3 linked regions of the Struthio camelus genome follow. The protein of the gene in region 1 interacts with the protein of each later gene in a pairwise test. Links are inferred from orthologs where the notes say so. Each region holds a gene or a part of one and is shown on either strand. Other genes may lie near its edges. The genes, in order: WDR6, G2E3 and PTPN3.

Region 1 (10,832 bases):
GGTGCTCTGTGCCCAGGAAGCAGCCCTGGCATCGCAGCAGCAGTGTATTTACTGCCAGAGCGAGCTCCACTCGCAGTCTGGGGAGTTGCTGCCTGGGCACTGGGTCCTGCAGGCGCTTTGTTCTTCCAGTCTGGAGTTAAACATGTTGTGAGGTGTCGATGTGTGCTCGCTGCTGGGCTGCCCAGTGCAGCGCTCTGCCTGCTCTGGTCTCGGGGATCTGGTCCCCAATGACAGACTTTCCTTCTTCTCCAGAACGGGGAAAGAGCAAAGGGTGAGGATTTCTCTGAAGCTGACAGAGGCAAAAATCCATCCCTTGCCAAGTACAGTTCAGTGCAAACAAGAAATACCCGTTCTAGCAAAAGCCCCTTTTTACCTCTCACTTTTCTGTTACTCTTATTTATGCCGGATCATTCTCTGTTGTATTTCTCTCTCATATTTTTTAATTATACAAATGCAGAACCTCCTGCTTGTTGATTTGGGTTTGCTTTTTTTAGAATAACCCTAAAAGGTCTTGCAGAAAATGTGGACAGAGGTGTCCCACTCTACTTAGATACTTAAAAAGGCATGTTTAAAAGTAACAAGACCCTCTGAGAAGTCAGCATACTCAGATATTTAGCTACAACGTTGCATGTGTTAGAACTGTAGTAGTTATTTCTCTTTTCAGATGGATTGGTTTGTGTTTTAGGAGCTTTAGAAAGCTAAAAATTGTATTTTCTCTGTCCTAATGCTGAGTGTCCCCTGCAGCTGAAGGCTCACTTCTGCAGGTTGCTGTATGCCCTCCACTCACCTAAAGGCATTGCTGGGGTCTGTACTCTTGTGCCTACAGTGGTGGGCACTTACGGGTGCTTGTTTGAGGAAGGCAATTTCAGCAGTGCCCTCAGCTGATGACTCTGAGTGCCGGACACGAAAAACCATTACCTATGGGCAGCTGCACAAGAGCCAGCCCGCTTTTGTTCCCTTCCTGTAGGTGTGCTGAGTTTGGAGGAGTTCAAACAATTGAACATCCGTGATTTCCACAAGTACATGGGAAGCCAGAAAGTGAAGATGAGTGACTTGGTGCGGAACAGCCAGCACACCTGGCTGTACCAGGGCGAGGGGGCGCACCAGGTCATGCGAGGCATACGGCAAAGGTAAGGGCTCCGGCCAAGCGGCCGAGGGGCAGGAGGGCTGGTGCAGGCACAAAGGCCACCTGTGCTGGGAGATGTAGTGGGAGACTTGTTAATATTTACATTTCCTAATTGCGTGAAAGCCTTTGGAGTATAAAGAGCACTGAGCGCAGGCATGAAATGGGGAGAGGAGGTTCTCATTAGAACAAGAATTTGTATTGTCCCATGGAAAAGGGGGGAAAAAATCAAACCTTTCAACATCTCCATTCACTTTTGGGAACAGCCTACTAAAACCAAGAAGACTTGGCATTATTTGATGCAATTCATTCCAATTAGTAAAAAAGCTTACTGGGAGAAACTGTTCATTTCCAATGCTGTCTGGGTGCCAGTAGTTACTGTCATTTGCTTTAGCTACTCATGCATTTCACTGAAGTCTGTCTTAGCTGTTCAGAACTGACTTTTTAACAAGCATGATTTTATCTCAAGTAAGCTGAGTTAGTGTAATCCTCTGAGCACACGTCTAACAGGGCGCCTCACAGCAGATGGGAGAGCCTTTCATCTTTCCCTTCATCTTGGATTTGGTTATTGGGAAGAGTTGAAAACCAGCACCCAGGCCAAATCGTTTAGCTGTGGTGAGTTTCAGATAATTGGCTGGGGACTCTCTTGTTCTTGTGGTGCTGGTCCTCGCCCAGGACATGGGTGGGTAAAAATCTGTCCCGAGGTTCGAAAATGGCTCTTGGCCGCTCCTTTTCTTCAGTGCATTCCAGAGGGAGAACGGGGTCACACGTTGCCTTGATTAGAGCAGAGACAGTGGGTGCCACCGGCTCTGTGCCAGCTAGCCAGGGCCCACAAGCATCAGCATGTTGCTTTTACGCTCTTTGGTTTGTCACTGCTAGAACGCCTCTGTGGAAGTGGAAACTTGATGCTGAAGGAGGCTCTTAAAGTCCTCCATGGGACCATGCGGTGCCTGGATGGGCTCCGCCACCCTGATTCAGTGCTGCACCCGCCTTGTGCCTGTCCCCAGGGCTTCAGCTGTCTGGATTCTCAGAGCTCTAAGTGTTCTTTGGCAGGTCTCGAGAGGTACCTGCTTGCCTTGGGGATGATCTCAGATGTAGCAGCGGAAAAATCCCAGAGCAGGAGGGCTCCCATCTCCTTGATCACTTCCCATGCCCCTCTGCCCTGGGGGGAGGCTGTTGAAACGGCAACAGGGAAAGGTGAGTTAGGTGACAAGAATATTCCTAGAGCTAGTCTCTCCTTCACTCTCAGCAGGAGCCCTTTGCTTTGCTAACTGTCCCCGAGGTCTGTAGGTGGTGTGCAGGAGTCCTGAGAAGCAATGAGATGGCACATGAAGGCTCCAGGGACACACACAGAAGGGATCTTTCTGAGCAAGCAGCCTTCCTGAGAGCAGTCCTGCTGGAGATGCACCCTTCGTTTTTGTTTTTTATTAACCTTGACGAGGAGTTTCTGAGCTGATGCTGATGGTCCAACAGATCTGTAAGGACCTAGTTATCTCCTGGCATGCTTGCTGCAGCCCATCCGTCTGTCCGGTCTGTTGGGGAAGGGGGTTATCTTTCTCTGGATTTGTTCGGTGCTTGGGAGTAGAGGCTGACCAGGGTAACAGTGCTTTCTCCTCACCTGTTCTACTCTCCTCTTCCCCAGGGTAATGCGCCTGACTCGCTTGCCCCCAGAGATTGTGGAGCACAGCGAGCCCCTCCAGGTTGTGCGGTATGACCAAGGAGGGCACTACCATGCCCACATGGACAGTGGCCCTGTGTTCCCCGAGACTGCCTGCAGCCACACCAAACTGGTCGCCAATGAAAGTGCTCCCTTTGAGACCTCGTGCCGGTAAGTCCTGCCTTGAAACCTTGGGGTTGTGCTGCATGCCTGGCCGGGGCGTTGCAGCGGTCGTTCGGAAGAAAGTTTTTTATTAACTTATCTGGAACACACTAACAGAAAGGTGTGGAGAGCCGGTTCACCTCACCTTATGCGGGGGACTTAGTGCTCAGGTTGCAGGCTCAGAAACCGGCTCTGGAGATTGCTGGCTTAAATGGGTGTGAAGGGAGAAGTGAGCGAATCCTGCGGGTCTGCAGGCCAGTGAGAAGAGCCAAGCACGCTGGTTCTGCCAAGCTGCTGGGCTGTCCCCACCAGAGGCCAGAATTGCACTGTCAGCATTGCGAGTGGAGATTTTCTTTGTTGTCCTTGTCTTGGCATTGGAGAAAAGCTGATGTAAACCATGTGTCTTGTGATGTCTGGGAGTTACCACTGTATGTATGATGGAGGGGCAGGATATGGACGGTTGCCACACATCTCCTGTTGTTCCAGTGGTGTCCCCTGATAGCCACTCCGTGCTCTCTCTTACAGCTACGTGACAGTGCTGTTCTACCTGAACAATGTGACTGGGGGAGGCGAAACAGTCTTTCCTATAGCTGATAACAGGACATACGAAGAAATGGTAAATGACTCTCCTACTTGTTATCCCTGGGGACTTCACTGTTTCCTGACTTTGAGCGCTTCTCTAAATCTCTTTGTTCACTGTGGCTGCAAAAAGGGTTTGGAGGGTGAGGTTGGCAGACGCTAGCCTTTTCAGCTAGAACATAGGAAAGCTGTGCTCTGCGTACTGTCTTTCGCTCAGAGACCAAGGGAAGATGTGCAGGGCTTTGACAACTGCAGCTTTCACTGCTCAGAGATGTGTGAGAAGCCCTTGCTGCCATAATGCAGCTCCTGCTTGCTTGTATCTGGGTAGGTTTTCTCAGGCTAAGTCTTGGCCAGCATATTGTGCTCCTGCCAAACCATGATTTAAGGAAAGGGGAGCTGCTCAGAACCAGTCATGGGCTTCCAGGGGGCTGAAATTGGCTGCTCCAGATGGGTTGTGAAAGCCCCGTCCTGCCCAGTGCCTAGAGCTGTTCCCACGGAGCGTTCAGGCAGAGGGCAGGATGACGACTGGCAGTGGAGGCAGTACAGTCTGCGCACTTTCTTCTAGCCCTGTTTACCATCCCTTCTCTGTGTTTTTCGTCAGTCTCTGATCCAGAATGATGTTGACCTGCGAGATACTCGGAAAAATTGTGATAAGGGCAATTTGCGAGTGAAACCTCAGCAAGGCACTGCTGTCTTCTGGTACAACTACTTGTCAGATGGAGAAGGTACCATCCCATTTCAGGACTTGGCTCTTGGGCGGGGTAGGACTGCATGGGGTGACAGCCATCTTTTATGGGTTTTGCTGTGGCTGGGTGCTCAGAGGAGAGCCCCCCCCAAGGGGGTGGTAGCTGCCTTCCAGTGGGAACTTTTGAGTCTACTTGTCACCAGCTGGGTAGGATCTTCCTGGCTCTGAAAGGCCTTTGTTTACAGGCAGTAGGTCAGTAGCTCCTGATGGCTTTGGGGGACAGGACTAGTTAGCAAACAAAGACCGTGGCTGTTACCAGCCATCGCCAGCTGCCTTTCTTCCTGCTGTGTGAGCTGAAACTCCTGCTGGAACTTGGTCCGCAATTCAGAATGTTTCAGTGATGTGGTGTTGCCCGAAGGAGTGGGGAGGGGAGGTAGACAAAGGCACGGCCATAAGCTCTGTAACCCATATGGGCATGGTCCGCCCCGCGCGAGGCTCTGCTGCGCTTGGGGTTTGCTCCTGCTGTATAGCTTAGCTGCAGCCTGATGATGTTCAAAGGGTGGCTGTTTTTCTCACAAAGTTCAGTGCAATTTTTTCTTGTCCCTGACATTCAGTCAGGCTGGGGGATAAAGTTGGATCTTCCAGGCTGTTGGTGAGTATGACTCCAGAGCGTTTCAGTGACAGAAATTGAGCCTTGGTGGGGAGAAGGCAAGTGGTATCTCACTTCTCTTGGGAGCGGCCTCTGTTTCCATCTCTAACAGAAAATCCACAGATGAAATCACAAGGCCAATGTTTGGGCTGTTGGATAACGATGTCAGGACCATCACTGTCCTGTAAGAGCCCTGTTGCTGTATTTTTATGAGCAAATTGTTCCTAAACAGAAGAAGGCTGCTGATGTGAGTCTGACACAGAGAAAATCCATAGGACCTCTATAAATAGATCAGCTGGAGCTGCTGAAATGTGGTGTCTAATATGGCCTTGAGCTTTTGACTTCCCCAGAGGCCTTCTAGTGGCAGCACCCATGTCTTCCATCCCAGCCTCGGCTGTTGGGAAGAGCTGAGAAAAACAGCAGCTGTGATACAAAACGTCAGCCCCTGGTGCTGAGTGGAGACACGAAGCAACCGGCAGTTGCTCATGCGCCGGGAGCCTGCCCTGGGCCGCTCCTTTCTGCTGGGATTTGGTAGCATTAAGGCTGCTCCTTGCGGCCCTGTGATACCGCTGTGTGCTCACAGGCTGGGTGGGGGAGCTGGACGACTTTGCGCTGCACGGAGGCTGCCTCGTCACCCAAGGAACCAAGTGGATCGCCAACAACTGGATCAACGTCGACCCCAACCGGCGGCGGCAGCTGCGGTTCGAGCAGGAGATGGCGCGCTATGCCGGAGCCGGGGCTGGGGCCGGAGCTGGGGCCGGGGCCCCGGGCGAGTGGACGGTGGATAAAGCCTACAGCGGCGTGCACGTGGAGCTGTAGGGTTGGGGGGGGGGAGCGGGGGGGGGCAGCGGCTCTGCGCGCGGTGGCGCGCACGTGGCTTTTTCCCGCGCTGGGCGGGGGAGGGCGGGGCCGCGGGGCGCGCCAATAAAGCGTGGAGACACGGCCGCCGCCTCTGCGTGCTGCGGGGGCGGGGCGCGGCGCGGCCAATGAGCGGCGAGCGCTTCATCAGCGTGCGCGGGGCGCGGCCAATGGGCGGCGAGCGCTGCCGGGCGGGCGCGGCGGCGGCGGCGGCGGCGGGATGGAGTCGGTAGCGCTGGTGGCGCCGGTGACGGCGCTGGAGTTCGTGGGGGACGTGCTGCTGGCGGGTGAGCGGCGGGCGGGCGAGGTGGCGGGGCCGGGGCCGGGCTGGGGCTGACGCGCTGTCCCGGCAGGCACGGGCCCGGAGGTGGCGGCGTTCCGGCTGAGCGGCGGCGGCGGCGCGGCGGCGGGGCGGCGGAGCGTGCTGCAGCAGGCGAGCGTGCAGGGGCTGCGGGCGGAGCCGGGCGGCGGCGGCGGCGGCGGCGGGGCGGTGCGGGTGGCGGCGTTCGGCGGGCGCTGGCTGGCCGTGCTGGCGGTGCGGCGCGGCGGCGGCGGCGCGGGGGGGGCGCTGGCGGCGGCGGGCGGCGGGGCGGCGCGGGAGGTGGGGGCGCGGGTGTGGGAGGCGCGGTGGGCGGCGGGCGGGCGGCTGGCGCTGGCGCTGGGCGGCGGCGCCGTGGCGCTGTACGAGTGGCGCGGCGGCGGGAGCTGGCTGCGGCGGGCGCGGTGCGGCGGCGCCGGGGCGCTGCGCTGCGCCGCGCTGGCCGGGGCGGCGGCGGGCTGGGCGCGCCTGGCGCTGGCGGCCGGCACGGCGGCGGGCGCCGTGGTGGTGTGGCGGGCGGCGGCGGCGGCGGCGCCGCGGCGGCGGCTGCGGGGTCACCGCGGCGCCGTGCTGGCGCTCAGCTACGCGGCGCCGCGCGGGCTGCTGGCCTCCGCCTCCGAGGACCGCAGCGTGCGGCTCTGGGCCGTGGGCGAGCTGGGCGGCGACGGCGCCGCCGCCTGCCTGCTCGTGTGCTACGGGCACGGGGCGCGCGTGGGCGCCGTGGGGCTGCGCGGCCCGCGGCCCGTGAGCGCCGGCGAGGACGGCGCCTGCCTCGAGTGGGGCGGCGGCGGCGGCGTGCGGCGGGCGCGGCGCGGGCACCGCGGGGCCCTGCGCGCCCTGGCCGTGCGCCCGGCCGGCGGCTACCTGGCCACGGGCGGCACCGACGGCGGCGTCAGGCTCTGGCGGCCCCGCGAGGCGGCGGCGGCGGCGGCGGTGGCGCTGGGGGCGCCGGGGCGGCCGCGGGCCGTGCGGCTGGCGGGGCCGCGGCGGGTGCTGGCGCTGGACGAGGCGGGCGGGCTGGCGGCCTACGAGGCGGCGGAGGGGCGCTGGGCGCCGGTGCTGGACGCCGGCTTCGCCGCCGGGCCCCGCGGGGTGCTGGCGGCCGTCCCGCTGCCCGGCCGGGCCGACGCGCTCTGCGCCCTGGGCGACGGCGACGGGCGCCTGGCCGTCTTCGCCCTGGACCTCCCGGACCTGGTGACCCGCGCCAGGCTCTTCGAGGGGGCCGTGCGCGGGCTGGGCTGGGCCGCCCGCCCCGGGCTGCCCCCCGACGCCGCTGCCTTGCTGGCCTCCGGCCCCCACGGAGAGATGCTCTGGCTGGACGTCGCCTGCCGCCCCGGGCGGCCGCCCGCCCTGCGCCTCAGGGGACGCTACCTGCTGCCCCCCTGCAAGCAGCGCTGGCACACCTGCGCCGCCTTCCCGCCCCAGGGCGGCCTCCTGGTGTGCGGCGACCGCCGCGGCTCCCTCCTCCTCTTCGCCTGCAGCCGCCCCGCGGGGCCGGCGGCCGAGAGCCCCGGCTCTGCCCACGCGCCTTGCCCGGTCGGCGAGGACTCCGGGAGCGAGTCGGAGCCCTCGCTCTTGGCGCGAAAAGAGGCTCTTCCCCTCGAGAGCCCGCTGTCCGTCCTCTTCGGGCTCCACGGGAAGACGGGGGTCACCTCGGTGACCTGCCACGGCGGCTACGTTTACAGCACGGGCCGGGACGGCTGCTACCGCCAGCTCCGCCTGCGGGCCCGGCAGCTCGAGGTGCTGCGGAAGCACAGGCCCTGCAAGGGGCTGCAGTGGCTCGAGGAGCTGCGCTTCGCCCCCAGCGGGGACCTGCTCGTGCTGGGCTTCCACGCCGACAGCTTTGTGGTGTGGAGCACCAGGACCGGCGAGAACCTCCACTGCGTCCCCTGCGGAGGGGGACACCGCTCCTGGAGCTACAGCGGCGGCCCCTCGGCCGAGGCCTTCGCTTACGTCAAGCAGGGGGACGTGATGCTCTACCGCAGCGCGGCTGAGCCCTGCGAGCAGCGGGTGCTCCTGGCGTCCCTGCACGGGCGGGAGATCGCGTGCGTGCGGCGCCTGGGGGCCGTGCGGGCGCCTGGCCGCGCCGCCGTTGACGTCTTCGTCACCGGCAGCGAGGACACCACGGCCTGCGTCCTCACGCTCAGCGAGCGCTCCCGCGCCGCCGTGCCCCTCGCCACGCTCGACGACCACATCTCCAGCGTGAGAGCGCTGGCGCTGGCCGGCCCCGCGCAGCCCGGCGACGCCGACTTCTCCACCCTGCTCTTCTCTGCCGGGGGCCGGGCGCAGATCGAGTGCTACCGGCTGCTCTTAACCGGGGACGCGGCGTCCGAGAGCACCGTGGCCTGCGAAGTCACCCACCTCGCCTCCCACCGCCTGGACGAGCACTGGGACCGGATGAAGAATAGGCACAAGCTCGTCAAGATGGACCCGGAGACCAGGTGACGCTCGGTGGCAGCCTGAGGCTGGCTCGGCCGCGGTGGCGGTCCCGGGACCTGCGCTGGCCAGGCCCGCTCGCTGCGTTAGCGAACGGCTCAGCCCTTCCTCCTGCCGCCTCCGAGCGCTCGGCGCCGCATCCCGCGCCGGCCGCGGGCTTCCTCTCGTCACCCGGGCAGCGAGCAAGCGTCGTGCGTTTGCCGCAGGTACATGTCCCTCGCGGTCGTGCCCGGGACCGAGCGCCTGCCGACACCCTGCAAGTTCCTGGCTGCCGCCTGCAGCGACGGGTCTGTCCGGTGAGGAGCCGCCCTGGGCCGCCGGCGCTGGGGCACGAGCAGCCTCAGCGGAGGGGGTGGTGGCCCCGGGCTCCGAGGCAGGAGCGGGAGGGCGCGCGTAGGACGCGGACACCCCGGCAGGGAGCTGCGGGGAGGGAGGGAGCCCCTTCTCCCCGAGCTGACCGCCCTCTGCTCCCGCGCAGGGTCTTCGGGCTGCTGGAGGCCGCCCGGAAGCTGGTGCTCGTGGCGGAGTCGTTTCACCACCAGCGCTGCGTGCTCAAGGTGGAGACCTTCCTGCACGGGCAGGCGGGAGGCGCGAGGTGAGCCCTGAGCGGCGCCGCCGGCGGAAGCGGGCGCTCGGCCTCGCGGAGGTGGGGGGGTCCGCGTGACGGGGACGGGAGGCGGCAGGGAGCAGCTCGGGCCCCCGGGCGCGCGCAGCTCCCGTGACGCCGCTCTCCTAGGAGGCGCTTCCTGTGCAGCGCGGCCACCGACGGGAGCGTCGCCTTCTGGGACATCACCGTCCCCATCGCCGAGGCCGCGGACGCCCTGCACCGAGCGGAGGGAGCGATGCAGCCCCTGGGTGGGTGTCTCCGCCGCCCCCTGCCCCGTCCCGAGGGCGGCTGCGAGGCGGCGGCAGCTCCTCCGCCGTCTCGAGCGTTGCTGCTCTCCTGACGCAGCCTCTCCTCCCAGCCCTGGGCGCCCCGCTGCTCACCGTCGTGGCGCACAGCTGCGGCGTGAACAGCCTCCACGCGCGGGAGACGCCGGACGGCCGGTACCTGGTGGCCAGCGGCAGCGACGACGGCTCCATCCACGTGTGCCGGGTGGAGGTGACCCGGGGCGAGGAGGCGGCCGCGCCGGGGGCCTGCCTGCGCCTCCTGGAGCGGCTCTCGCGGCCCGGCGCCCACGCCGCCCACGTCACGGGCATCCGGGTGCTGCGGCCGGACCTGGTGCTCTCCGCCTCGGTGGACCAGCGCTTGACGCTGTGGCAGCTGGGCCCGGGCGGCCTGGAGGCGCTGAGCACCGCCTTCTTCCACGTGCCCGACCTGGCGGAGCTGGACTGCTGGGAGGCGCCGGCGGAGCCAGGCGGGGAGCCGCACTACTACTGCGTGCTCTGCGGGCAGGGCCTGGAGCTGGTGCGCTGCGCGGCCCCGACCGCCCGCCCCGAGCCCCCGCCGCCCCAAGCACCCCGGTAAAGGTCGGGGGGGGGGAGGAGGCGCACGGTGATCCCCGCTCCCCGTGTTGCTGCGGCGGGCAGGGCGGGTGCCACGAGCGCTACGTGGCGGCCTGGCAGCCTGTGGGGGGGGGTGCGGGAAGCTGGCTCTTCCCGTCCACCTGAACCCTGGTCCCAGCCTGGGCATCCCCCTTGGAGAGATGACTTTTGGGGACAGCACTGCCACCTCAGAGCTGTCCCAGCTCCTGCGGGGTGTCATGGCCTGGCAGTTTGGTGGGGCAAGGTGGTCATGGCTCCCCAAGCAGTAGGGAACGAGCAGGGTCCTTGGGGCCTGTCCTGCCCAGGCGATGCATGAGCTCTTGTGTCCCCCACCTTCCTAGGGGGTGAGGGGGGACACAGGTCCACACTTCCCAGCTCTGGTCCTGGAAGAAAGGTGCTCAGGAGGGTGCTGAGCACACTGCTCTGCCTTGCAGCGTCCCCCTCCAGCCTGGTCCCCAGCAATTCAGAGGCTCCTGCTACCTGGGTCACAAGCTCAATTCCCACTGTGATGAGCATGGCCAGGTCTCTGCATCTCTCAGCTCTGGCTTTAAAGCCCCTTGGTGACAACGTGTCCAGGCTGGAGGCTGTGTTGGCTCTGGCAGGTGACCTGCAGCAGGACTGTCCTCGCTCCATGGAGGACGAGCCCCTAGCTGCCACCTTGAAGGCTGAGGCAGCCTTACACTGTAAGGGAGGTGGCTGGGGCTCCCTGATGGCAGTGCGGGACACCCCCTGCCACGCTGTAACACCCAGAGCCAGCCATCCCCAGCAGAGCAGGCCTCGGTACCGTCCTCAAGCTGGCAAGGGCAGTTGGGAGCAGGTTAAAGCACAGGTAGGGACGAGATGCTGAGCACAGGCCCAGCCCCGTGCAGAGCCTGGTGT
Region 2 (10,057 bases), on another chromosome or scaffold:
GTTATATTTAATGGAATAAAAATGAATGAAATTTTTGGCTAGCTACCTATCTTCAGATAAGGAAGAAAGCGAGCTAGACTCTATTCTGAGTAATGTATCAGAACAAAATTACTAGAATTTCACTTATGATGACACTTGAGCTGAAAATAATCCTGGTATAAGATGACGTTTACAGATCCTGACAGAAAAATCTTTGCGCTTGTAAACGTATCACATTTTGCTTGTAACTACTGGGATGTCACGATTGTTGATTTCCAAGTTGTTTTTCAGAACACTATATAACAATATTTTTACTTAATATTGGAATAAAAAATGTAAGTATGGTAGTTCACCTAATTTCTTTATGAGGCGATTTATCTATTTATAATTATAATTATTATTAAAAATTACTAAAAAGGATGAAACCAGCAGAATTTAAATTACCCTATGAAAGGACAGGTTTGAAGAGAATCATAACCTTCTTGTTTTTAACAGCAACTTACATTGCTGAATAGAGAATGTGAGCATTGATACCAGATGTTGTAAGTCTGATAAAGAATTCCATTAAAATATTGTTATTCTGCATCAAATTGGAAAAAATATTTTAGATGAGGTGAAAAAATTCATAGAATTTTAAAGCTTAAGGAAGAACAGATAGTGCAATTATAACAAGATACAGGTGAGCTACTTAAATTATCATATTCCACTTAACTCAAACAGTGATGATAATCATTTTGCAACTCTGTATTATATACAGATCTAAAAAGAATAATTTAGAAAATCATTAACTCCATCTAGTGGTGATTGTAATTTTCACTCGCAACTATGCTCCTGTAAGCAACTATATTCCAAGCTTTGATTCTAATTTGTTACACTTCAAGAAATAACAAGAGATAACAACAGCAATTCATTTGATTGATGTAAGAAATTTTTTTTGAGGTTTTAATAGTATTGAATTAAATCAGTTTCTAAAACTATGTTTAAGAGTTTAAATTTTATTCTAAGGGAACTCAAGTCGATAATAATGCCCAGAGCTCTTAAAAAATGGTGCTCAAAATATCTTGCAAAGAAAATCAATATCATTATTCATTCCCTACAGACTGGGAAACTAAGACAGAGGAAAATTAAACAATTTTGGCCAGTGCCAGAATGAGGAAAAGAACCGAGATCTGCCAAGTTCCTTAGCTCAGTGGTCTGCCCACAGAGAACCAGGACTAGAGAGGCAGAATCTTTCTCCTTGGAGGTCTTTGGCTCAAATCAAGAACAAACTGGTAGTGACTGGCACTCCGTAAAGACGTATGAAGTTTTTGTAACTTTGAGGATAGAGCCATATCGCTGCATCTGAGCTATTACAAGTAATCACATTTGCTGTCTGCTGGGACAATATAAAGTCTCATTAGACTGCTGAAACCTGATCTGCTTACCCGGTCCCTACTAGTGCACAGTTCAATCCAAGTGGCAGCATGGCATGAAGAAATTTACTGTGCCACTGCCCAATGTTTTACCCTATTCTGCAGGAAAAAAATAAAAAGAGGTCCACTCTCCAGGGCAATAACTGCCATTCTTCAAAAACGTTTGATCCAAATGAGGTCATTTGGGATATTCTTGTTTCTATGACAGCTAGAATGTAAGTCTTGCTTGTGAAGTTTTGGAGACTTGGGAAGCATGTACTGCTGCTGCATGTTTATTCAGAGTGGATTATCCCACCAAAAAGGAAAATGAAGTCCAGAATGATCAGAATCAAAGGAAATGGAGATCAACAGTGATTTTAAGACTGTGAAGGTTTGAGTCTCTTGGGGAATGTGGACATCAAACAAGGTTTACTTTTTACGTCTGTTTTCACAACAGTAATAGTGTTCAGGTGATGTGATGAACCTCAGGAAGCAGACCCAATATTCACCTCCAGATATGCCATGACGGGATAACAAAAATGTCCCAAATACTGTTCTATTCTATGTAAAGAAAAATACAAAACGCTTCCCCGTCAGTAATTTGGAAAGCCATCTGTAAATTGTGGACTGCTCCATAGCTAAGAGAAGGTTATTAATTACTGATAGCAATAAACATCACTCCATAACCAGGATAATATGGGTTCAACTCTAGCTTGATCTGACTCATCACTACCCTATTAGTCATAATCTGTACAGCAACTAAAATTTAGGACACGGAGCAAAGGATTACAACTGTACGGTGCTTTCAGAGCTTACAGTCTTACAGGTTAATCTGTCTAAAACGTAGATCTTGAAACTATGCACTGGAAAAGTTATCCAGAGATTATTTTGAGTGAGTAAACTTGGCAAACAAAGTGCCCTTCTAAAAAAGGTATAAATAGTACACATCAATAGGACGCTCTTTTACTCTCTCCTGGTTTTAATCAACCACAGTTGATTCACAGAATTTATACACCCAAGCCCTCTCCTGCTCAAATCTGCCTTCCTTTGACAAGAGTACGAATGAAAATTCACTGGATTTCTTAGCTACTAGCTCTTTCTCCCAAGCTATTCCATGTGTTCAGTACATTTTTTCTATTAGAACAAAGCAGTATTCCACATGCTGTCCTTACCAATATCTGTGGATGAATATAGCATTATTAAATAATTATCTAGACAACTGAGAGTGACTTGGTAGATAAACAGTTTAAAAAAATGGAATTTCTCAGAGTTTCACAGGGTCTTAATCTCTGGGACATGACTGATGGCGGAAAAATAAAGCAGAAAAGTCCCTCTTTCCCAGTTTTGAAGTGACAGGATGACTTCAGGTCTTCATGCACGACTCAACCGCAACTTAGCAAGAGATTAATCATTGCAGATACATGAAAGCCTCTGTACTATCTAGCTGGTCAATTGATGGGAGTAGTTTGATATGAGCAGTTTGATATGAGTAGGAGTTCCAGCTATACTTCTTTTCTGACTCTTCATAAATAAGATGTAGATCAATATAGTAATTAGTTTAACATGCAGGAATGTTACACATGAAATGCAGAACTTAATACAAATACACAGTTTTATTTTTCACAGTAAGTGATGTAACAAACAGTTGTAAGAAATGCAGCTTTATTTAATGTACTACAAAAGCCAGCGTCAGGTACTATTTGCCTTTGGATTTACACCCCAAAGCTGGCCCTCAGCATGCAATTCTAACATTGTGGTCTTACAGCTATATATTAAAACCTTCTTCTACTATTACACTCATATCTTGGAAAGAGGAAAAACGCCTAAACAGAAGAACAGGCAGTGTTTTCTTGTGCTTTAAAAAACAGGATGTATCTTACTGTCTGAACAGATACTGCCACTGGTTGTTTGCATCTTAATCAAATACTTCACTAAGTAGCATCACGCACAATCTGCAGTTAAGCACTCTACAAAATACTTTCTACATGGCAAGTATCACTGACATTTAAGTATATCTTTCAAACATAAAACAAAACATAAACTATTCAAGCAAAACAAAACATTTACACCTACAGGCTAGAGTTTGTTTAATTAGATTGGGCGATGATAAGTAAATACGTGATAAGTAAATATGTGATCATGGAAGTTTTTCTGCCTTTTATTTACTGGAAGTAAAGGAGAAGCTTCTTAAGTTTCTCTAATTAGCCTAAAAATCTCAATAAATAAGTTTAAAAGCTATGGGTATCTGACCTATAACTCTTTGGTTGTGACACGTAGAAAAGTAATTTTAAGTATTTTCTCAAGTTCAGAAAGGATAAGAGACAGAATACTTGTAATCACTTCCACTTCAATACTGTGGTTATTCCCCTAGGTCCATCTATTAGATGCAATTGGCTTGCCCTTAGTGGAGTGCTGATCATTACTCACTGTTCAGATATACTAAAAGAGAAGGACCATTTAAACTTTTAGCTCAGGAAGGAAAAATTATAAGCAACTGAGCTTATGTCCTGTTTGAAAGGCCAAGGAATGGCACAAAGTGGTATTGCATTTATATAAACACAATAAACTCATGCCCCACAATGGAACACAGTAATGCAGGCTGTATCTGAGCTTTGCTGGGTGAAGAAACCACACAGTCTCACAGCAGGAGAAATATCACTCCCAGCCACTGCTGCTCACATACCTGCTTATTATCTGAGCAACCCAATACCAAGAGACCTAAAATTGCTGTTTTGTGAGAAAAATCCTGCTGCCAAGAGGTGGTATGTTTGAATTTAAAAGACACGGGGAACAATCAGAAGAGATTTTAGACCAAAACATTCAAACAAGGACCAGAGGAGATAATAGGAGAGGACTAGGAAAAAACTTGTGTTTTGTGGTAAATAGCAAGCTAATACTTTTCAAAGGGACATCTGAAAACAAAGGAACTAAAAAAGGCGATGGTAAAAAAAAAATGTTAAGTTAAACTGTCCACCTTTCTGTTTTTCCTACAAACAATTAAAGAATAAGGCTCTGATTAGTTATTCTTTAACTTTTATGAATATATAGCCATGGAAATCAGGTATAAAAGGCTGCCTGCATAACTAGGCCCTAAAAACTTAGGAAGCCAAGCCATCACTGAGCAGCTCCATACATGATTTGGAATTCCAGACAGCCTACCATACTTTGGGTGCTTAGAGGAGGATGCTATCACTTGTCAGATTTGTATATAAGTACAGGCTAACGTTTGAGGCTCCCTCATAAAAATCCGTAAAAAACAGCAAGGCATGCAGATACATTCACACGTTAATTCTTCCTTTGGAGCTTTTTCTCCCTTCTGGGTAGGGTTACCTGAATAACTGATAGAGGGTGAAAGAAAAAAATGTTTAGGTTTTTCCTTGCTGAAATGAAAATCAAGAAATGAAAAACAAACAGAACAGAAATTATCAGCATACAGTAAAAGAGTTAAGATATACATTACAAAAGGTGGAGTTAGTATAATGACAAAATCCTTTCTTTATTCAGCAGACCGTTAGTTAAGACATTCATCCAGAATGTGGAGACGGGTTTAAGGCCCAACTCTCAGAACACAGCCTTAAAGTTGTTCTTTCACACTGATACAATGCCACCTCCTTCAGTAGAACAGTCAACAAGTCAGAAAGAGGGTAGCCAAGAGTGATACTCTCATCTTCAAAATCTAGATTGAAATCCACATAGCAGACTGAATTTATTCTGGTTTGTTCATACAGTAGATAGGTGTTAGCTTATCGGATAAAACAGATCACCCATCATATGGAAGCACATTTAGGAAAACCGATACTAATTTAAAAAAAAAATTTTTTAGCAAGTTATTAATTACCTATCTCTACTTCTTGCCCTGTTTTGCAAGGTGTCTTTCTTCTTTTTCAGAATTACACTTTGTAAGGATATGTGGAAGGATACGTCAGGATAATCTGTTTTTTGAGGCTCTCTGGTTAACAGCTATTCAGCATACAAGACTTGGACAAGAGACAGAAGTAATAAATTAACCCCCCCGGACACAGAAACCGGAAGGGACAGGAGACAACGGAAGCAATACCAAGAAACAGATCCCGCAGGCCACTGATGACTGAAGGAACCAGTCAAAGCCTTGAGGAGGTTCAGCCAGAACTATGTACTGGTTGATAAGAAGGGGGAAACAAGATTATCAAAAGCCTCACGGCAAGAACAAACTTACTATGTGTGAGGGTGCTTGTGTGACTGTGCAAAGCGTATTCTGGAGTATTTGGGGGGACGCCAAAAACGGGGAAAGGGTGGTTATCAAGGCAGATTAGGACCAAGCACAGGAAAATGGAGCAGAAGGGGGATAACAGGGAGCAGCTGTGTGTAAACAAGCTGCTGCTCAGCACGCTTGTCTGTCCAAACCCTGCGCCTGATCCTATTCTTATTAAACTCTATGCCCAGCTATTTTGCTGAGTGAGGGACGGTAAAACCCTCCTGCCTGGCCACCGAGGCTGGCAGGGTTTTGGCCGTGCCCGGCGGCAGGCAGCCCTTCCGCCACGTCCCCGCCGGCCGCTGACGGCCCGCGCGCCACTGCCACTGCCACGGAAGCGGGCGCGGCCCGCCCCGCCCCGCCTCCCGGCGGCGGGAAGGGAAAGGAAGGGAAGGGAAAGGAAGGGAAGGGGCGGCCCTCCCTACCACCGCCCGCCCGCCCGCCGCCATCGCGCCCCGGCAGCGACGCCCGCGGCCGGGCCGGGGGCAGGAGCCAGCGGCGCCTGTGCGCGCGCCGCCAGTCAGCCCCAGTCAAGTGCCGGTCGCCGAGATCGCTAGGCTCCTCCCGCCGAAGTGGCGTGCCCGACAGAAGTGGCTGAGTGCCGATGTGACGGATCTGGGGGGCGGGGCGGGGCGGGGCGGGCGGGTTCGCCGCTTCCGGGACGCTGGCGGATGTTGGGGTTTGAATTGTGTGTCGGTTAGCGCGGGGTCGGCGGCGGTGCTGTCGGGGCGGCTGCCGGGTGAGTAACGCCTTAGCTGGGCTGAGGCTCTGCCCTGCTGCCTCTAGCCTAAGGTCTCTTGGGGTGGCCGAGCCGAGGGTAGCGACGCCTTGGAAAGGGCTAGGAGAGCTAGGCGGGGCGTTGTGGCGAGGGACGGGGTAATTTAAACCGCCCTGGCAGCGGGGCGGGAGCCTCTGCCCCGCGAGGGGAGACCGCGCAGCAGCCTCCCAGGCTGTGCTCCGGGCAGCCAGCGATGCCTGGGTCCCGCCGCTCCTCTCTGGGCAGGCGATAGCGGAATAACTGCGAGAAAATCTTCCCGCTCTCCCTGTCACGCCAGTCGGAGGCTGAAGCCTTTGGAGACTCGGGCAGTAAGTGACTTTATGAATCGTAGTCTGTCGGGGTTGTTCTTCCTCCAAGCGTGGAGGGAGCTTTCCTGCTCCAGTCCGTGCGCTGGGTAAAGGGCTGCTTTCAGGACGTAGCATTGTTGTAAACAAACGGCGAGATGTACTGGAGACCCAGTCGTATGTAAATTTAGGACACATCGTTAACTGATCGTATCTGGGGAGGTTCCATGTAGGCTTTGTTCATGTGGTATGGAAAAGGTAGACCTGAAATCTTGCCTCTTACTTTTGTGCTTTTTCCATCCCCCAATTAAAAACACGGGGGGAAAAAAGAAAGCTTGCATTCTGGAGCAGTAAAGAAACAGTTCTAGTAGCACTTAGCAAAACTTCGTGCCACTCTGACGAATTGGCTTAGCTTATTTAGGCATGGTAGATAAGATTTATTTACACTTTAGTTCTATAAACACTGGGTGATAACGTGTTCCTGTCTTGCAAATAGACTAATATAGAATTGCTTTGTTTCTGTAGAAAGCGCTGTAGGACTTATGCATGGAGCCTCTACGGTTGTTCTCATTGGCTCTTTAACTTGTAAATGTGAACTCCAGGACTCATTATCCTGGACGAGTTTGAGAAAGGTGGTAGGATTTTTTGGGGGTGGGTAGCATTTTTCTTCTCTTTTGCTGGAGCTAGCAGAGGGGGGAAGGGAGTTATGTTGTTTCCAGGCAAATACGTGCTTTCTCCATGTTATAGGGCTTTTTTCAGTACTCACTAAACTGAGAAACCAGTCTGTGTTTATACAGATGTTTATATTCTGTTGCATTACCATAGTAGACTGAGGGCTGTGACCTTTTTTGGGAAATCCCGAAAAGAAAGGAAAAGATATAATAAGATATTCTTGTCTTTTCCTCTATGTCCCTGAGTTGATTTTTTTTTTTTAATGTAGAAAAGCGGAAGTTCATATCTGGGAGAACTGGATTCTCATTTCATTATTTGTCTGACAGTGCAATATGTGTTCTTAAGGGTCTCTTCACTTGAATTGGTTGCAGCGTTGTTTGTTTTGTTGCTTTTAGAGTGTCTTCTGGCAAAAATCTTCTGTTTATACAACTACTCTGGTTTTCTTTAAAGAAGTGCAGTTGCACAGAACAGTTGCCTTTTGCCTGAGAGTTCTGCCTCCTTTTTCTCCCCCCCTCTTCCTCACTCCTTGGCGCAACCTCTTTCCTAAAACTCTAATCAGATGGCTGCAATGCTGTATTTGCAGTAATTGGGATCAGCTTGAGAGCTGTTCCTAAAGCCATCTTTACCTGGCAGTCATCTAAGCTGTAAATACCAAAGCTCTGAAAGCAGGGAGTCTGAGACTTTCAGTTTGGAGGTTGAACTTGCTGCAATTGCCTCCCCTGCCCGCTTTGAGTTTTATCAAGGAAGTTGTTCACCTGCCTGCAAGGTCAAGCATGGATCTGCAGGAAGCGTTCCCATGACTCTTATCTTCCCAAGCTTTTGTAATGTTTTCTTCAGCTCCGAAGAGGAGGCACGCCAAAGATCTGCAGATATCTTCCTGGAAGAGCTCTGTTGCACTGTTGAAAGGATAATCATATTAGTGCTGTGGTGAAGACTTTTTTTTTTTTGAGGTGGACTAATGGTGTTATGGATCTAATTTTTAGGGTCATATGATGTTTGAAAGAAATGCAAGTTTGGCTCATGTTTCTAAACAGATTATTCTCCTCTTTAGAATATAAGGCGTATAGTTCTTAACAGTGCACGTTCCCTTGTGTTTCCCTGCCTTGTATTCTTCACAGCTTTTTTTGTAGACTTAGATCAGGTTTCTTTGAATAGGCTAGGATCCTGCATTTTCCCCAAAAAAGGGAGAAATTTTTATCTTCTCGTTAAGATACTCATGCTAATAAAATCTTTAATTTGAACAGAAGTCACTGCCTTGGTTGTACTTGGATCATTATTTTCAATGTTGAAAATAACTATAAATTCTTCTATTTTTCTTTTCGAAAGAACTAGCTGCTGTATTGGACTTTTATACATAAAATATCTTGCTGATAATTTGGGGAAATAAGAGAGAGAAGTTGTTGCATGTTCCATTGGTCTGGGTGTATTTCTTCTGAACATCTTCATCCAGCTTTCTGAACCTCTATCTTTCAGAAGAACAGATGAATTCTGATATTAGTCGTCTTGTTTCCATTTTAAAAATGTTGCTGAGTCTTGGGATTTTTTTGAATTCAACAGAAAGTAAATCTGGAAAGCAATGATTGGTGGTCATTCTCAATGCAGCAGACATATGTAACGTGCCATTTCTTTTTCATGATAGACAGCTAGAAGAATTCACTAGAATGAATGAAAACAGCCACTGTGACATTCAAAGCTCACGTAAGTAAGGTTTCTCTTGTGTTGATATACATCTTTAACACCATCTACAGCTCATTATTGGTCTCAAAGAATGAGTGAATTATCAAGAGTCAAATTGTGTTGGTACAACATGTCTCAGGGAATTAAAAAGAACTCTTGTCAATTTCCTTGGATTTGTTCATACAGACCTTTCTGCAGATGTTCTAAAAAAGTATCCTTGGGAATTCAGCTGCCAGGTTACACATAGCTGTGTGTGAGATTTGTCGTTCGAGACTTCTTCTTAGGTTGAAGCAGTATCTCTTTTCTCTCCACTACTATGACTGTTCTTGATATCAGAGGATTGAAAATACTTCTAGATTTAAAAAAGTTCTATATCTCTATTGAGATTTAAAGAGAAGATGAATACTGCGTGTCTGTAGAAGTAGGTTGGTGGGCTAGGAAGTGCAGAGATTAGTTGACACCAAACTTGTCTCAAATCCCTGAATGTTTTAAAAGCACGTAAGCATATGACAAAGCATCCTAAAACACAGTTCTGTATTTTAGCCTGTGTTCTCTGTGGACGGACAGATGACTGCCCTGAAAAGTATGGCGAAAAGAGAACCTATGTGGAATACAATCTCACTGTTCATTATTACTGTTTGGTATGTATTTGGTATTGATGTTGGAGCTCATCTGTTTTACCTGAGGAAAAAGTAAATGTAATGCTTATTAAGTAGAAATTACTTGTCCAAACTGGCTGTTGTTGGAAGTCTTGAACTTTCAGCTTTAACTTGTAGGCCAGAAGGCTTGTACGTGTCAGGTATAGCAAACTAAGTAAATAAACCCCAGCAAGCTTTTATTCAGAGCTAAATTCTGTTCCTCATTAATTTCAGTTAATTACTTAGGTAATACCCCAACCAATCACAACAATAAAGGTGTGTCTTAAAAGAAAGTGAACAATTTCGTATTTCAAAATTCCACCTCTAATGGAAAACCATAGAGAAAAGCTTTCATGTTTATTCATGTTTTATCATTGGTTCTTGTTTGGCGGTGAGGTATTCTGTGA
Region 3 (10,138 bases), on another chromosome or scaffold:
TGGAACATTGTTATACAATAGTTAACCCCTGCCACTCCCCAAATGACTATCCACAGATGCAGTTGCATTCTGTGCAAGACCTTGGTTATAGTGAAGCTGTCTGTTCATTTACTGTTAAGTGGTGGGTGTGCTTTGTGAAATGATCCTCTTGATGCCAACTTCCTGTGTTTGGTAGACACTCGAGCATAAATAATTGTCACTCTTTTTCACCATTTCCTTAGAGATTTAATTCGATACCAGTATACTATGTTATGTGAAAGTGAACTTAAATACTTAATTTCTAAGTCTTTAAAGATGGAAAATTCTTTTTTTTTCCTAGCCAAGTACTATATTGAGGGGTCTAGAAAGAAGCTCATTGTCTCATTCTAAAGTTTACTTTTTTCTTTAAACTAAAATGTAAAACAACAAAGCAGTGTTCCAAGTGCTCGCTGTGGGTTGTATCCTGACCATTGAAACAAATGTTTTGCCTCTCACTTAGGTGTTTTCTTTTCTTTTTGTTGTTTTTAGTTGTGAAACTTGTGAATTGATGCAATGAAACTACAACCCTTAACTCATTTCTGTAAAAGTAAACTTTATTTCTCTGTATCAGTATCAGACAAGCACAACTGTTTAGTAACTTAGTGTTTTACACTTGCTTTTTTTCCTAATTCATTTCTGTTGAAAACTTATGTTAAGTTGGTAAAGTCATGTTATTGCATGCCCATTTATATTGACTATAGATCCTTTGCTAGCAGTGTGTTTTTTTTTTTTTTTTAAACAGTCCCACTTAGTTAGCTATACTTGGTTTCTAAACAGATATATCTTGCTTGGGAGCAATGTTAAGTTTTTTGTGTCAATCGAATAACATGACTCAATGGAATATTAAGCTGGATATATTCAGACTAGAACTAGCGACTAGAATAGCTTGCTGTTAATTATGGTAGATCCTAGATTCTGAATTCATGAATGATGCAGATAATCTTTCTTTTAAAAAAAAAAAAATCCTGTCAAGGGAAAACCTTGGCTGAACAGTTTTGTGACCTTCTTACATAGCGAATCAAGCTTACTTATATTATCAGTTGTTCTTAGTTGTGAATGTACTGACTTCTGTTAAACATTTTTGATGGATAACATATCCAACAGCATCTATTGAGATTACTTTATGAATGGAACTGAAGTCTTAACAAGTGAGACCTTAAAATCTAATATACTGCAGTCTAAAGCTAGCCATATGATCAGATATTTTGAAGAGAGATTTTGTTAAAATTGTCAATTACAAACCCTGTTACTTGTTAACTTGTGTATGTTATGGCATTTGGCTTATTTAAAAAGAGTGACATGTTTTATGCTAGGTTGTTCTGCATATGTTTTTTTAGTTGCCTAGAAAATAAATCTTTCCAAGCATAAGAAAACTTTTAAAAATACTTCTCTTTTGGGTGTCAAAGATGGAAGCAAAAGACAAATGTATGTATTAAGCTGGGATGAAAGAGAGAAATCAGCATATTGTTTAGTATACTAAGTGCCCATTTGTTTACCGAAGGCAAAAGTAATTTTTGTTTTGTCCTGTGTGCTTCCCTGCTCCTTCCATCTCCTACCCACTTTTCCTCTTCCCCCAAACATTTGTAAACAGAAAATTAACTTAAAATGTCAAATTCAGTTTCTTCTCTTCCATTTCCTAGTTTAGTAAAATAACTTCTAGGACAAAGATAGCATGCCGATCATTATGACCTTTTCAGTACAAAAGTAGATTTTGGGCCATATGTTAAGAAGCTCTGAAAAACTTGTTAACAGTACTAGGTCAATTGTATGCATATTAATGTTTTTAAATTGTCAGATATATACCTAGAATTGTGTAACAGCCTTTCCTGGTTATATATGGCTCACATCCTCCATTGAAGCTCATTTGCTCTTCTTTCTGGCATTGAGGAGAAAAACTAGCTTTACAACAATTTGCTGTACATTACAAAGTAAAGTTGAACTCTTAGCACGAGGAGGGGAGGGGAAAGAAAAAGAAAGCCTGTTTTACTGGCTCGATCAGATGGCAACTTCAAGGTGATGAGAGGATGTGCTTCTCGCCAGCAGATAAGGCCGGACAGTGTGATGAGTCTAGGTTTGTTGTTCTCCTTCTTTTCCATCCATTGAGATCCCTTTTGGCAATCTGATGCCTGACGAATAAGCAAGGTGAAAGTTTCAGTTTCTTCAGTACATTTAATTTTAATGTGCTGTCAGGTGACCCGCAACAACTTTGGATCATTCGTTAACCTCCTGGATCGATTTTGTTGTCTTAAGAGCATGTTTGTTGTTCGTTCCTCCTCCCTTACTCTCTAAATCTGTTTGTTAGTTTCAGCAAGTTTTATAAAAACTTAGATCTAGATCTAAAGACAGTAAGCTCACTATGAATTAAATGAAAAATTGTATAGGAAAGAAAATAGTGTAGAAGAGGCTCTGGATTGGAGCCTCAGTCAGGAAAGGTCTGTAGTTTGAGGCTCAGCAGCTACTCAATTTGCCTGCAGGGTAATGACTGAGCAGGTGCCTGACTTGAACTCAGCCACTACCAGTGTTGCCTCACTCTACCTACCCTGATGTATGGCTGTGGCGGGGGGCGGGTACTGAAACGTTTTGGAGAGTCAAAGGCTTGGCATCAGGGAGCAATAGAGAAGAGCAGCTCAGGTTTGGAGAGATGGCAGCTTAGGACTGTAAAGCAAAAACCTGCAGGAAAGCCAGCTTTGCTAGTTGTTGTTCAGAGACCAATAAGTTTCCATTGTGTTCACCACCTTTCTTTCCTGAATTTCTTTTCAGGAGTAATGATCTTTGTTCTATTCAGTGTTGCACCTAGCCATGTTTGTGAAGATTGATGCATATTTTTGTTCTCTTTCAAATTTCATCGGTTTTAGAATTGAAGATCTACTTTAGCTTGGTTTGTTGTTAAAAGAGGTTAAAAATGTGTCTTGCTGGTAGTAATATATACCTGGTAACGCATGAATAGGCTAATTTTTGAATGATTTGAGGTGTGTGGTCATCCCTGGAACGCAGTTATAGCTGTGGGTTTATTATACAAAGCTATAGCTTGAGGCAGTGACATGAAGGCTCAAAATCCAAATTCTGATCTCATTCTAGCTGAGCAAATGAGAAACTAGATACCTGACTTAAAGGTCATGCTAGTAGGCCCCTAAGCACAGTGAGTGCCTTGGCCAGCTGAGGTTTATATAAGTGCTGCACGAAGGAGAATGAGCAGACTAGAAAATGCCCAAAAAGGGCATTTAAAGATATACGCCATGTGCTGAGTTTTTGATTCTGCTGATTTCTGGAACTTGCACGTTTGCTTATTATGCATATAAAATAATTAACCAATTATGAAATGCATGATAGTCACAAAATGGCAGGATACCAGTGAAGGATGTAGCATGTAACTGATTTAAATATAAAGGAAAGTTGTAGACTGAAATATCTGGATCCCAGTTATTGGACAGTTATGCTGTGCGCTTTTTAGGGAGCGGTGCAGAGTTATGCTTGCTACTTACCGGACTGCCCTGAATAAAGAAACTTGCATGACTAATCCATTGCGAAGTTGTGCATTGCACAAAGCTAAGTGAGTCTAGATGCTGGAAGAGATGGGATTAGTAGTATGTGATCACCCTGGTGTGCCTTTAGCATTCGGTAGGACAGAGTGACCAGTAGCAGAGGCAGACACTGAAAGAGGTCAGTAATACGTTACTAAAATATTCAGTAATATCCAAATAATTTGAGCAGTTAGAGGTATTGTAGTTGATGTAAAGTATATATAGTAAAATGTAGTTACGTGAAATAAATGTTCTGCAGACATAAGCTTCTAATAGTTGTACTTGCTGCGTTGTTGATGTTAAGATATGACAATCTTCTAGCGGTGGATAATTCTTGCAATACAAAAATTTCAGTTTTCACTTCATACTTAGAGTATGAGTTATTTGACAGCGTGATAATTAGGATAGCATATTGGATTTGAGGGTCTGTTTCTTGGTGTACTGAACTACCGATGTACTCCTCTTAATGTGTTTGGAATGTTTTTCACAGATTTCTTGAAAAACAATTAAGTACTGGAATAGGTTGCCCAGAGGTTTGTTGGAGTCTCCCTCGGTGGAAATGCTCAAGATTTGGCTTGATGGGACCCTGGGTAACCTAATTTAAAGCCCTACTTTCAACAAAGGTTGGATCAGGTAGTTTCCAGAATTCCCTTCCAGCCTAGACTTTTTTTATGATTCTGTGATTTAATTCATGCATAGCCATGTTTTTCTATAGTATTGGTGATAGTTTAATCCTATAACAATAACATTAATCTTGTTAAAATAGCCCAGATCTTGTTCTGCTGAAAATAAACGTGGGAAATAAGTTAGTCCACTAGTGAAAATGTTTACCACTGCTCAGTGGTACTGTTACGATAGGACTTGACGCTGTTCTGTATTGGAGAGACGGCCGTAATGCTAGTATTAGTAATTATTTTTATGCCTATGAGAGCAGAGTCCAAAGTGAAGAAAGAGCTCTCAGTCAGGTTGCCTCATAGGGGATTTTGCTTGATTAAACACTGCTTTATCAGGTTGTTATTCAAAACCGTGTTTCAAAGATAGCCAGAAAACAGTTGACCAACTGTACCAACTACTTTTTTTCTTCATTGTTTATATGTAAATCAAAGGTTGAATGCCTAACTGAAGAGGATTTTATGGCTGAGTACATGGCTTTATGTTGCAAAATGAACTGAGCGTGTTAAGACAAACTTATGAATCGCATATATATACTTTCAAGACGATTTGAAGTGATCGAAGCCTGATTTGTTTTATGACTTTATTATTATTAACCAGGTTTCTTCAAAATGGCAACCTTTAGTGGTTGGACTTCCTACTGCAAATCTTTTCTTGCTTTTGTGAGACAGTTCATTGCAGAAAACATTCAAAAATGAATGTAAGCTTGTAACATCCCTTGTAACGGTATGCTACCTAGCATTTCAAATTTTGCCAAGGAAATTCTGTGGTGTAGTTGCTCAGAAAATAATGCTAAGGTCTGTGTTGGCATGGTGAGATCTGTAATCAATGAAATGTGTATAATGCATCAGAAAACATCAAACTTTAAACCCACTCTTTAGAGACTGGGACTTCAATAGCTCTTAGTGGAGATGACAGAGTCCTGTAAGCCTCCTTATGGGAAAATATGCTTAAAAACACAAATATTCAAAATCTTGTGTACTAATGTGCTTACTTGCATATCAACTGAAGTGTAGGGACTAGTTGGTTGCATTATGATTTGCACTGAGTTTGGCTAGCAACTTTCTGGCTACTATTGCATATGCTCAACTTTGCAGCCCAAGCCTAATACTTTATAAGCATATTTTTTTACAGTGACTCCTTCTCCGTTACGTCTGAATTTTGCTGTTCTCTGGCTCTTTCTTTTTTCTGGGGGATGGGGGAAGGGAAGGGGAGAGAGGTAACCAACACAGTTGTTCTAGCTTGTTAAGAGTCATTTAGTAGGGAACAATTGTTAACGTGATCAGTGCTCCTCTAAAGTAAAAGCCTTCTGTTTTTTACCTGCTATATTATTGCTATAGATTAGGGGTTTTTTTTTTCTTTTTATCATTTCATATCTTCTTTCTTTGCATCTAGATCAAGTATACTTTTATTTTTCCCCCTAGCACCTAACCATTTTAGGACCTGTCACTTAAGTTGGGAATAAGGTGCTTCCATTCTGTTTGCCTGTGAGAAGAGATGTTTAATATAGATTTTTTTTTCCCTATTTTTCCCTGACTTTCTGACATAATACAGTCATCACAGACCATATGCAAACATATAGCACTGCTTCCAGCACTGATATTGCTGTCATCTTTCTGTATTGATAGTTAGATTATAATTAACTCTTGTCTGCACAATTAGAAATATAATAATTGAGGTGACAGCTTTCCTTGGGGGAGAATGGGGGAGGACAAAAGATCCCCAAACAGGCTAGCCCTAAAATAAAGGAAGCCTCTGTTCTAAATGTTTATTATTGCCATTTAGTCCATTTTCTAACAAGCAGGGAATGCACAGGATTCATATCAGATTTCTTTTCAGCAATAAGACAGAGCAAACTTTCTAAATTAGTATATATCTCAGGTGTTTTGGAAACACCACCTTTGGTCATTGTTTGTGAACGTGCTCCTCGTTCCCTAGTATTGAATTGTTACTATTTGGTTAGTGAGACTTTTTTTGGCTCTCCACATTCAATTTCAGTGCAGCAGGAGGATGCAGTAGATGCACTTCTGTTTTCTGTTTGATGGCATAGATGTTCTGCTCAATGGTATGAAAGGGTCGGCCAGGAGTTCCTTGAACTGCTCACTTCAGAGTGAAGCTGCTGGGGCCTAGCACAGCCAGACTCATTGCTAGATTCAGTGTTAAAACCTAGTTTGTGGTTCAGCTTGCAGAGTAAGAAAATTGCTGGCGTTGGAAGCAAATGGTGCTCTGAGGTTTGGATTTCTGGAAACAGTTATCCGAGGAAAGTGGTGAGCCGAAACAAACTTTTCAAAAATTCAGAACGCATGTTTTACCAACAGAAATAAGCAGTTCTCTGCTTTTTGCTCCTAAGTAATTGTCATCCTCAATGGTTTCTCAGTTGACTGTAATATGACAAGGTTAATTTTGTCTTTTCTTCCTTTAATTTATCTATCAATGTTATTCCAAAAGATATGTAATTCTTTTGCTTGTAAATATTTTTAATCCCTTCTTTACTGCCCTTGGAACAGGAGTTGTATTTTAACACTGAATTCCTGAGACTTGGTATCAGTGGACTGATGAAGAGAGATCTGATATAACCTGTCTAGACTCATAAATTTAGGAAAACAAGCTACAATCTCCTAGGGAATTGATTTTTTCCTTAAGCTGCTTCACAGCAATTGATGGTCTATATTTAATGAAAGATATATTTTTAAGTGGTGCTGGTAGGGATCTGTACACATAAGTATGTTGCCCTTCCTAAATCCTTTCTCTCTGGCTCTGATCTCCTAGTTCATTAGGAAAAAACTTTCATCATCGTTTCAACAATAGCAGATAACCACTCTCTGCTATCTTATCTAATCTATAATTTCTTCCTCCTCCACTTCTGCATTGCTTTCATATTCTTGTTACTATTTACTTTGTTCCAACCCATTGCATTATGCTTTTACTCATAGTTTGTTTCATGACTGATCTGCTTATTCTCTTTGGAACCCCTTATACTCTTCAAGTCCTATGTTAATCATTGATTCAATTAGTCCTATCAATTCTGATTTATTTTTTCATCTGAACGGTGTCTGATCTAGTGCTTTCCAAGATCGATGGAAAGAAAAGTTCTTTTTTTCATGAATGCGGTAAGAACTAGACAAGGAGGCATTCTCTCTTTCTGTTTTTTCCCCGTGATTTGGAACTGCCTTGTCAGCCAGTGCTGCACTGTGAAGTTGTCATAACCTTCCTTTTCGAACGTGTTGCTGTGGTTCTTGTTGTTTCGTGGCTGCTTTTAGTTTGCAAACTCAGGATAGGCAGCCATCCTGTAACTGCATTCAATCCCTAAAAAACCTCTGCTACCACTTACTCTGACTAGTTTTGCATATGGCTTTTATTTTTAAAAGATTCCTGTTCCTGTCATATTGCTTCAAAAAGGGCTGTAGCTGCTTCCTGAATTTAACGCTGATGAAGGTTACATACCTTACATATCTGAAGTTTGGCTGGATTTAACAGTTAATAAATCTCTGTTACATGCTAAAGGTGTTCTCTCCCCTCTTCATGTTTTTTTTGAGAGACTAACTTGCTTAGGTGAAATTCTAGATTTTATTAGTAGTAGAAAAGTGTACATGGCAGAGGCCAGAGTTTGTACTTTGGTTCCAAAGATCAGCTGCAGACTGAGCGTGTTCATCATATGTAAATATTGATGTCACATTCAGAAAGTTCTTGTGGATGAGCAGACCACTTACATGGTCACAACCTGATACATTTTGCACTAGAAAAACAATTAAGATTAAATAAACTGAGCTGAGTGATTTTTACAGAGGTGTAACATAGGGTAGGTAATCTAGAATAAAGGTCATTATCTTTGTTCCTAATCTCAGTATAAGCTTAAATATTAGGACTCTATGTAAAGGTTTAGCTAATAGCTTTTAAAATAAAGTAGCTAATCTAAATCAGTTACCAAAGCAAAGTAAGCTTGACAATATTGCTTGAAGTATTGATTTCAACTTAATTTCTCCTTTAAAACTCTTATGACAATCTGATGTTTTCAGGTAAACTGGCTGTTTACCTGAACATTGATTTGGCAAAATACTTGCTTTTGGTTGATTGACTTGTCCTCAGCAGAATCAGAACATAGTACTGTGTTCTCAACCAGGTTTTGTTTTGATGCCTTTCCTTTAAAATACACTTCTAGTTTATTACATGGTTGTGAAAGAAACGCTAAGGAAAGAAAACAATAATTCTGGACTTTTGTCCTCTTTTTCAGTCTGGCTGTACTGTGATTATAGTTCTGATTTGATAAGGTGCTATAGTGCACTCCCTCTTCTCTCCCAGCCCTTCCAAATTATGTTTTGAGGAATTTGCCTTTTGGGAAGTGTTACTTGTTACCGCTGTCCTGTGAAGTGCTTAATGGTGAGGGAACCTGGAGAGATTTGTTGGATCTCACCACTATAAACAACCTCTCCTTTTTGCTCCTGTTTTAGTATAAAGCAGCAAAGTTGGCACTGTGCCTGCATTCCTCTGTAATCAGTTGCCACAGCATGCTAAGATTGCTTTGAGGGAAGTAGATAAATATTTTACCTGCCAGCCGGGAATACAAAAGCTGAACTAGGAAGGATTGGGGACTGTAAGATCTACTTGGGAAAACTTGATTTTTGTGTGGGTGCGTGTGTGTGTATGTTAAAAATGCTTGGCACCATTTCACATATGAACTGATTTGAGACTTAAACCAACCTCTGGCTCCAAAACTCAACAATATCAGCAGTTCAGTAGGTAATAGACTTGTGTTCTAAAACAAGGAAGTTGTTTATTTTTGTGAATTAAATCAGTCTTGCTGTGCAAGGGAATATAACAAGCTTATATTTATAAGGTTCATGAGACTTGTTACTTCAAGGTAGCAACAGGAAGCTTTATTATAAGTGCTCATTAGTTGGGCAGCTGCATTAAAAGCAAATGAACAACAACAACAACAAAACCCTACGTGGGCTTGAATTATTTGTGAAGGCACTATTTATTGTTGGGATAGTTGGGGAAAAACAAGGGGTGGGGGTTGTCTCAGTCAAGAGAGTGAGTAGATCTTTACCAAGTCGCCTTTCCAAAGTCATGCTCTACCCTGCCCCAGTTTACTCCCCTTAACTTCACTGTCAAGAATTGTCTGGCCCCATCCTGCTCTCTGTGATTACAGGCCTTCTCCCTTCTAACTTCTACCCTGTATCACCACTGCTGACCTCAGTACTGATTACCCAATGCCTTCCTGTTGATTTGGGGTTGGACATCAGCTCTCAGAGCAGCACCTGCTTCTCTGCAGGTGATTTGTAGTAACTGCAGCATGCAGACTTACCTCTTTGCCAGTGCCATGAATTAAAAGTTTGTACAACTAAGCAAAGTAACAGTTTAGTCGCTTCATGGTAGAAGGTTTGGCATATTTCTGTATGACGTATGTCTGGCCCAGTATTATCACCTGTCCTATGATGATGAAGGGCAGCAAGGCATTTTGCTTGTATCAAAGGAGGTGTTCTCAATGTGTCCAGGTGCTCCTGAGCAGCTAGCTGCTGCTGTTGAGTTGTCCAGCCAGCCAGCACCTGCTGGCCAGCTAGGCAGCTGAGTGGTGTTGTATGCTGACCAAGTGACTGAATTTTGATTGAGGGCTAAATGAATTGGTTTTTTGAAAGGAAGAAACTGACCAAAAGATTGCTGCTGGTCCATACGCTGCAGAGGGAAGAAACAGTGTCTATTTTAGATTAAAGTTCTGCAATGGGCTTTCCTTGAGGTACCTTATGCTGCAGTTGCTAGGTGCGTGTGAATTTTGTAGTGAGAGGAGAAAAATTCCCTTACAGGGATATAAAGATATAAATGTTTGGATTTCTTTGGTCTAAAGCATACACTGTTTAAATGCTGATGAAAAACAGAAAGCATGGATTGTTTGCAAGATAGGATGTGTTCTGTCATGCATTTACTGTACT

The links.
Region 2: the proteins of WDR6 (region 1) and G2E3 interact in a two-hybrid assay, tested with the Homo sapiens proteins (2 studies listed by BioGRID and IntAct). The two-hybrid records come from large-scale screens. The link is inferred for Struthio camelus from reciprocal best matches to the Homo sapiens genes WDR6 and G2E3.
Region 3: the proteins of WDR6 (region 1) and PTPN3 interact in binary tests that used the Homo sapiens proteins (3 or more experiments, as listed by UniProt). The two-hybrid records come from large-scale screens. The link is inferred for Struthio camelus from reciprocal best matches to the Homo sapiens genes WDR6 and PTPN3.

Annotation. Positions count from the first base shown.
Region 1 is NC_090955.1:10,157,043-10,167,874, reverse strand, and holds the start of WDR6 (tRNA (34-2'-O)-methyltransferase regulator WDR6), read left to right. Parts: upstream 1-5,910; 5' UTR 5,911-5,933; coding exon 5,934-6,000; intron 6,001-6,066; coding exon 6,067-8,473; intron 8,474-8,674; coding exon 8,675-8,764; intron 8,765-8,946; coding exon 8,947-9,063; intron 9,064-9,204; coding exon 9,205-9,323; intron 9,324-9,433; coding exon 9,434-9,936; 3' UTR 9,937-10,832. Other genes in the region: P4HTM (transmembrane prolyl 4-hydroxylase), read left to right, coding at 968-1,130, 2,766-2,951, 3,468-3,558, 4,123-4,246, 5,439-5,674. UniProt on the Homo sapiens protein: Together with methyltransferase FTSJ1, methylates the 2'-O-ribose of nucleotides at position 34 of the tRNA anticodon loop of substrate tRNAs. Required for the correct positioning of the substrate tRNA for methylation.
Region 2 is NC_090946.1:53,054,015-53,064,071, forward strand, and holds the start of G2E3 (G2/M phase-specific E3 ubiquitin-protein ligase), read left to right. Parts: upstream 1-6,077; 5' UTR 6,078-6,687; intron 6,688-8,974; exon of another isoform or gene 8,975-8,978; 5' UTR 8,979-8,996; coding exon 8,997-9,033; intron 9,034-9,555; coding exon 9,556-9,653; intron 9,654-10,057. UniProt on the Homo sapiens protein: E3 ubiquitin-protein ligase which accepts ubiquitin from an E2 ubiquitin-conjugating enzyme in the form of a thioester and then directly transfers the ubiquitin to targeted substrates. Essential in early embryonic development to prevent apoptotic death.
Region 3 is NC_090943.1:70,022,726-70,032,863, reverse strand, and holds the start of PTPN3 (tyrosine-protein phosphatase non-receptor type 3), read left to right. Parts: upstream 1-6,214; 5' UTR 6,215-6,230; coding exon 6,231-6,276; intron 6,277-6,323; exon of another isoform or gene 6,324-6,478; intron 6,479-10,138.